Oreochromis niloticus: one gene and its partner. The protein of the gene in region 1 binds, or shares a complex with, the protein of each later gene. Links are inferred from orthologs where the notes say so. Each region holds a gene or a part of one and is shown in the gene's direction. Other genes may lie near its edges.

Region 1 (3,925 bases):
GTAAGACTAAAACGTCCCTTCACGCAGGCGCCTCAGCCTCATGTGAACCGCTTAAAGTTCCCAGATATCTAATAATCACTCCAAGAGTTTAATGTCATCCACTTAGTGGTAAGTGCGGATGATTCAGCTTTTTTGGCCTCCGTGTTGTTCGCACAACAAATCTGTTTGGGGCACAGGGAAATGGCTTCAGCCATAACAACAGGGTGACACTTCTGTGAGATCAAAGGGGATCAAAGTGCATCAAAGGAGCTCACCTTACCAGTACTGACATTCAGTAAAGTGGAGATAAAAGCTCTACTTCAAAAGATATGCAGCAATTCAAATGCGCAAAGTGCTAATGTGTTTGTCAGGTGTCTATGGCGCATCGCTTATTCTTCTACACACGCAGACACGTTCTCACACTCAAACTTCGGATAAAGGCTCCGTGACCAGCAGATGACGTCCAAGTGCTAAGATATCTACAAGGAGAAACTTAAGTTCTTGTTTTTTATCACGCACTTCAGCATCTGAAGGGAGCTCTTCTTGCACAGCGAAAACTGACTGTTCACACACACAGTGCAAAAAGTTTTGAAATCAGTGTCACTAAAGGTTTAAGGTGAATAAATAAATCAGAAGAGCTCACATCTCTCAGGAAAGGGACGAGAGATAACAACTTAAGGACAAACACGGAGACAAGTCTAGTGCGATGTGGGGTTATCAGCAGATTCACGTGGAAAAACAACATTGAGACTTAATTTCAATATTCTCAAATACATTTCTCCTTCTTGAAGTGGTGGAGCCTAAAGGGTCAAAGAGCAGGGTAGATCAGAGTCGCCTTTAATCTCAAAGTGCCAGTCAACCCTGAAAGGCCTCTCCACGGAAGTCCATTAATTCGGCAAAGTTTTCACACCCCTTAATGGTCTGCATATCCTACACATTGATGTCCGCAACTGGTGTAATCAAGCACACGTTGGGGGATAATTGCCCCCTTTGCAATCAGAGGGATCAAATGAAGTAGTTAATCGACTTAAGTAACTTCAATCGCTGTCTTCACACAGCCAAAGGGCAGCCAAAGGATGTCAAAGAAACTGGAATAAGCAAACGGCTTCTACAAAGATGCGCAGGTAAGTTGTCACCAGAAATAGTCCTATCAGAGATATAAATCAAAATCAGTCAACAAATCAAATGTGCTACCACATTTAGAAAAACGTCATTGTTTTTATTTTATAAAGTTATACCTATAATAGTTTGAAAAATATACTACTTGCCTATTTTGATAACTTCACAGTAATTGCGAAAATTAAAATAAGTGATAAATAACATGGAGAAAAAAAAAACTATTCCCGATGTGTGATTTGTGTGTTTAAAATATAAAATTGTCGTTCATAAGAGATCTATCTAAGGGGGAGGGACTCGAGTGATGAATTTGTGAGTAATATTTTTAAAACACATCGAAAAAATATTAAAGAAAACATTATTTGTCATCTGTATTTTTTATGTTTTTATTTATTTATTTATTGTATACTGATTGGATAGAGTAAGTACTGACTGGTGGTTGGGGGGTTGTTTCCCGTGTACGCCACTGTGTGATGGGTATTCAGACAGACTTTGCAGGTCATTATCATCACAAACACTGAAACGTTGTCCTGTGCAGGGAGCAGAGATGGCCATTTCCGTACAGTGGGTCTCTGTTTGAAATTCCACCCCTCCGCCTTTGTAGTGCACAGCGAGGGGCGGGAAGACAAACAGGTCCACATGTATAAAGAGAGATCATCCCAGGACTGCGAGTCAGGAGACTTCCAAACATCGTCCTGAAACTCTCTGGAAACTTTAGGATTCTGGATTCAAGGCCGTTTTGGACTTTGTCACTCTTCTTCTCAAAACAAAAGGGACATTCTTATCGTGTGTTTGCCGGAGAATTTAAGAAAGGAATCATGAAGATGCCTTCAGTCCGCCGCTTCTTGGCTGTGTATCTCACGCTGTTTGGATACCTTGGGGACGTTTACGCGGGCACAGTCCTGACGAACTCCAACGCGATCAAAAACCTGCCCGGCGCTCCGGTTGTTAAAGATACCGATAGTGTCAGTCCGAGTCCTCGAACATCACCTTCTGGTGGCATGGGACACAAATTACCCGCAGACACCTTGCAGGTAATTAACTCAGCCGTGCGTAAAAGTCAAGTCTGTGCACCACAATAGTGATTCGCTTATATACGTTGTCACAGAAATCATAGCAATATACTTCCTGACATAATATTTTTGTTTTTAATCATATATAGAGCTCAGGTGTTTGCACGGATGATGAAGAGTGTGGAGGTGAGGAATTCTGCAACGATGCTCGAGGCGTCTGTCTACCCTGCCGTAAGAACCGAAAGCGTTGCGCAAGGGACTCGATGTGTTGTACAGGAAACCGCTGCAGCAACGGTGAGCTCATTTCAAATCAGTAATGACTTTTGGTTTTCTTTTTGTCATCTTGTAAACTATATTTTTTTATTCAACTTTCTACTTATTATTTATATCTTAATTAACTAAGGGCTTTTTCTGTAGTGTTAATTGCAAACCCTAAATGCAGTTATTTATTTTCGTCTTTTACCTTTTCAGGTGTTTGCCAGGCAAATGACTTAGATGGTGCAGATGTAGCTCTCACCACTGGCTGGCACACACACAACAGTACCACGGAGCATCGAGCCAAGAAGCCTCCCACTGCCCATAGCAACCAGCCTCATGCTGTCAAAGGTAAGTGTGCTGTTAAAAATCATCAGTCTTATCTCTTGGGTTCAAGTAACAGCAGTAGGAAGTTTTCAGGGAGGTCTGTTCCATGTAACATATTTTCACTTTGTTCTCTTCCCCCCCTCATCTCCAGGCCAAGAGGGGGATGCCTGCCTGAGATCTGCAGACTGCTCCAAGGGTCTTTGCTGTGCCAGACACTTCTGGTCTCGCATTTGTAAGCCTGTTCTGACAGAGGGCCAGGTGTGTACGCGCCACCGCAGGAAAGGCAACCATGGCTTGGAGCTGTTCCAGCGTTGTGACTGCGGCGAAGGGCTGGCCTGCCGACCAGAGAAAGGAGAGCGAGATCACACTGTCAGCAGGACTGCAGCCCGGAACCTACACACCTGTCAGAGACGCTGACATGAACGAGTGGACGCACACAGAAACAGAAACCTGCACACTCACACGCCCAGCAAAACCCACAAATCAGTCACAGACACTGACAAACACTTGCATACACAAGAGATGCTGACACACACGCGCACACACATGCACACAGACACCTAAGACATTCTTTCCTGCCAAAGTTGCTGACACAAACACATCAGCCGGAAGGATAGACATGATTCCTGGAAAAGTGATACACCCAGAGGGATACAAGAGTGCAAGACGGACTGATTCAATTCCCTTTCAGCAGATGAGGAGTCGGAAGTTAGGAAGTGACATTTCAGAAGTATTAGGAAGATCAATGCATGTCGTTGGTAATGGCAGAGCTGTTTTGTTTCTCTTTTTATGGAACTTCATGCCACGGTTATTGCAGTAAATTACTGTATTGTACATATTTCCCTGGATGTGGCACTTAAATGAGCTATTACATTCTGTCAACACCAGTATTATAAAGACATGGTGCTGCATGCATTGTAAATGTGTTATATATAATGTTTTATAAGAAATGTTATCTATTGAAAATTTGAATATATTTGTTTTATTAAATGTCACGTGATAATCTTAATGCAGTCTTTCTATTCATCATTTTTTAAAATTTGAATCTACTGCAACAAAAAAAGGGGGGGGGGCTTTACGTAGGATTTGTAGAGGTTTCTTGCAAAAGTTAAAAACTAAATGATTTAGTCTTCATATAGTAGCTGGTACACAGAAAAATAACAACTGTCCCCTTCTGAAAAGCAAAAGTTGTTTGAAGGATGTCTGTGGTGCTTAACCTGGCCCAGAATCACTAA
Region 2 (3,925 bases), on another chromosome or scaffold:
ACCTTCAAGCTCTAGATATACAGTAATCTGTCAAAGGATAACTTTATCCCTATATGCCCAAGTCCCAGTATGTAAAGCTGAGTCAGTAATTCCCTGACTATAGATTTATGATAGCACCTGTCTGTTAGCACAGATCAAAATGTTTCAAAGTAAACTGTTCCAGCAGGCATGGGAATTCCCATCAAATCCAGCTCCAGAATCCCCCAGATCATCAAGAACTTTGTTCTTGCCATTAGAGATAAAGCTTTGCAATCCTCGCCAACCATTACACTTAATGATCTGCTTAAGTAGCCACGTTACGCCAAACCCAATTCCAAGAAGAAAGACAACTTCAAAAGGCACATATTCCTCCATGCTTGGTTTGTTTTTTCCTCCTTTTTTCTCGTTATCATGCGCTGTGGAACTTGTACGATACATAGATATGATAAAGAAAGAATTAAATGTCTGTTTTGTGCATGTGCATTTTTCCCCCTAAGGATTTTTGTGTGTGTCTCTGAGTGGGTGTGCACGTAGTCTGAAACCGTGTGAGTCGTAGTACAGAGACACCACACATGCACTGGAGATATCTTTCGAATGAAACCATGCCAGTAGAGACGCAGGCAAGCCTGGGCTGGTATCTTTTCTTTCTTTTTTTTTTTACATTTACTGACATTAATCAAAAACATCTAAATATTCAATGCTTCAAGCACAAGTGCTTTTTCACTATCATTTAACCTGGTGCAACCAGCTTGACCGACTTCTATTGAGTCTACTGAGTGCATGAAATGATTCATTCACAATTGTTTATGCTCACTTTCAAGACACTGTCGCACTCTGTTTTGTATCTGTTTAGCCCACATTCAGAGGCCCTGGAGGCAGATATTGTTTACTGTCTAGGCGCACTTGCTTGTGATGTCTCTGGATGTTGTGCTCTGTTTGTGTCTGGATATACCTGCTTATGGATGTGCGATAAATATCACCGGGGCTTTGAAGGTCCTTTATTTTTCTCTCTGTCTCATTATGAATTCTTACTGCTGTGATTCACTATGCTCTCTCTTCCTCAGTGCGTCCAAACTCACAAGGTCAAAGATCTCATAAGTATTCATGTCCCTGTCCTCTCTCAGGCTGTCACTAATTGAGAAAACACAGCAGCCACAGCATTATCAGGTTAGCTTCTTGTTATTCATATTTATATACAGGAAGATGACTTTCTCTTTTGTTTTGGTCCTGATATTCAGACACGCTTCTGAACTGCTGGAAAACAATTTTGATGCAGAAATACATTGTCATCAGCATGCTGCACTACTCTAATCTATGTCTATAAACCTTAAGAATTCAGTACTCGCATTTTTTTATTCACACATAACTTTGAGGATTGAAAGAGAATTAATTAAAAACTTTAAACTGCAAAGCTGAAAGAATTGTTTAATTATTTTTTTAATCAGTTAATTGTTTCCTTTAGGCAAAAAATGGCAGACTTTGCCTAGTTCCCCAGTTTATCAAATACATTCTTTGTCTCATCAGAACACTATTAAATTTTTTTTTACTATATTCTCATGAAATAATTACTTTTTTTAAATTTTATTTATTACTTTTTCACAGAAAAGAATAACAAAACACTTATTGCCTATTTTGAACAGAATATTTATCAATGCAATGTCTTAATTTTCTGTGGGTTTTTTTTTTTTGCATTATACACCATATATTCATATATTGCCCTAGATAAAGGTATTCTATATCAAGCTTACCAAACACTCCACATTTTATGTGGCAAATTGTACACTCGCCAGAGGCTTTGTTAGTTACACCTTTCTAGGTGTCGAACCCTCTTTTGGCTTTTGAACCCATAATAGTATCACAGGGTTCCTGCAGATTTGTTGGCTACACATCCAACATACAAATTTCACATTCAACCACATCCTAAAGGTGCTCTGTTGAGACCTGGTTACCACTGAGGCCATTTGAGCAGCGATCACTTGAGCTTCGTAACATGTCTCAGTAACCTGCAGTCTTGGGCAGATGAGTAGAGTGTGGACATAAATGGATGGATATGGTCAGCAACAATAGTCAGGTAGTCTGTGGCATTTAAATGATGCTCAGTTGGCACTGAGTGGCTCAAAGTGTGCCAAGAAAATATCCCCCACACAGTTACACCGCCACCACCGCTGATACAACAAACATTGGATCAATAATTTCATGATGGCTGCACCAAATTTTTCACCCTTCCATTTTTTCATGTTGGAGCCAAAATCGAGACTCATCAAACCAGACGATGTTTTCCCGATCTTCTGTTGTCCAGTTTTGGTAAGTCCATGTGATTTGTAATCTAAGTTTCCTGTTCTCAGCTGATAGAAGTGCCACTCGGTGTGGTCTTCTGTTGCTGCAGCTGATCTACTTCAGTGCTCTGATGGGTTGTGCATTCCAAGATGCTTTTCTGCATACTTTGGTTGTAATGAGTAATTATTTGAGTTACTGTTGCCATCCTGTCAGCTCCAAACAGTGTGAGCATCCCTACCTCTGACATTAAGAAGGTAGAAAGCTACCACTTACTAGATATGTTCTCCTACTTTGACCTCCGTAAATCCTAGAGACAGTTCTGCTGCAAATTTCTAACAGATCAACAGTTTCTGAAAAAACTGTTGATCTGTTAGTTAAACAGATAAACAGTTTTTTCAGAAAATGTTGATGTCAGACAACAACTGATGTCAGTTGTTGTCTGACATCAACAACTATGTATGTTCACAACTACTGAAATCACCTTACTTCCCCATTCTGATGCTGGGTGTAAATGTCTACAAGCCTAAATGCACTAAGTTGCTACTGTGTGACTGCCTGATTACATATGGGTGTTAAAGAGCAGTTGAGTACGTGTACCTAACAAAGTGGCCGGTGAGCCTACGTGTCTCTCTACATAGAATCTGAAGAGAAATTCATTTAAAATGAGCTTTTAAGGAAATGTTTGATATTTTGGGAAATGGGTTTATTTTATTTTTTCCCCCTTGCGATTTAAATTAAAGAGAATTGATTCCACATTTTTTTTCCAGTAAATATGTTGCTGGAGCCAGCAGCTGGCTAACTTAGCGCATAGATTGAAGCCAGAAAGGAAACACAGTAAAAAAAAAAACAAACGATTAATATGAAAAACCACTGTATTCCGGAGTTTACTGGATGTACTTTATGATCATTTCTTAGAGCTTCAAGCAGCAGGACCTCCAAATCTATTAGTCCTGACTACAACTCAGTTTCACTTTGCAAGCAAGGATTTGACATGCTTTGTGAGCTGACTGTTCATGGATTGCATGTAAGAAAGTCGTTTCGTTTCATTTTGTGACTACGATGTAATGGGAGACCAACCAAACAACAGCACAACATGGCATATTAACAGTGACCATGCCGGGGTCGGGTTGGCCTTGTTTATATGCTGAAGCCATAAACCTGTAAACATACATTTGTCTTTGCACTCTGAAACCTGTAACGGGGCTCATGAGTTTTGTCATTGTAGTTATGTGACTCTACAGACCTTTGTTTTTGTTTTCCCATGGCCATAAAGTGTTTAGTTGCGGAGATTAAATGTGACGTCAAAACCCTTGCCATCATCCTTTTGTGCAGCTTGTGTAAACACTGTAGCCATACCATGTTTTGGAACCTCAAAGTGTGTTTCTCAGAAGTTTACATTATGCATATGGTGGACTATGTTGCCTTGTTTGCATACCCTGCTTAGGTGACATGAAAAACCTATCCATCACAGCATGTTTACAATTGTCCCTCAATATATGCCACAAAGGTAAACCGCTGGAACTGTTTGTGCTCAAAATGAGGATTTGAATTAATGCTGATTCAGTCCTGGTGACCACTTTTTGAAATCCTTTGAAGAATCTTCCATAAGTCTACAAAGAAACCAGAATTAAAGGGGGATCTTGGATAATTCAATTTTTTCTGTTTCATC

The links.
Region 2: the proteins of dickkopf-related protein 1 (region 1) and kremen1 are in contact, whole or in part, in a crystal structure (PDB 5FWW), measured with the Homo sapiens proteins. The link is inferred for Oreochromis niloticus from reciprocal best matches to the Homo sapiens genes DKK1 and KREMEN1. Residues at the interface, in NP_036374.1 of Homo sapiens: Cys189, Leu190, Arg191, Ser192, Ser193, Cys201, Arg203, Trp206, Ser207, Lys208, Lys222, His223, Arg224, Arg225, Lys226, Gly227, His229, Gly230, Leu231, His261; in XP_011528731.1 of Homo sapiens: Pro67, Asn88, Asp90, Asp92, Ser94, Trp96, Gly105, Val106, Tyr107, Trp108, Tyr110, Asp127, His128, Gly129, Pro132, Thr140, Asn142, Glu164, Ser165, Tyr167, Ala168, Phe170, Asn189, Val191, Phe193, His196, Asp203, Gly204.

Annotation. Positions count from the first base shown.
Region 1 is NC_031978.2:15,067,446-15,071,370, forward strand, and holds dickkopf-related protein 1, read left to right. Parts: upstream 1-1,540; 5' UTR 1,541-1,913; coding exon 1,914-2,129; intron 2,130-2,257; coding exon 2,258-2,402; intron 2,403-2,579; coding exon 2,580-2,714; intron 2,715-2,841; coding exon 2,842-3,107; 3' UTR 3,108-3,699; downstream 3,700-3,925. UniProt on the Homo sapiens protein: Antagonizes canonical Wnt signaling by inhibiting LRP5/6 interaction with Wnt and by forming a ternary complex with the transmembrane protein KREMEN that promotes internalization of LRP5/6.
Region 2 is NC_031977.2:30,684,048-30,687,972, reverse strand, and holds the start of kremen1 (kremen protein 1), read left to right. Parts: upstream 1-1,034; 5' UTR 1,035-1,146; intron 1,147-3,925. UniProt on the Homo sapiens protein: Receptor for Dickkopf proteins. Cooperates with DKK1/2 to inhibit Wnt/beta-catenin signaling by promoting the endocytosis of Wnt receptors LRP5 and LRP6.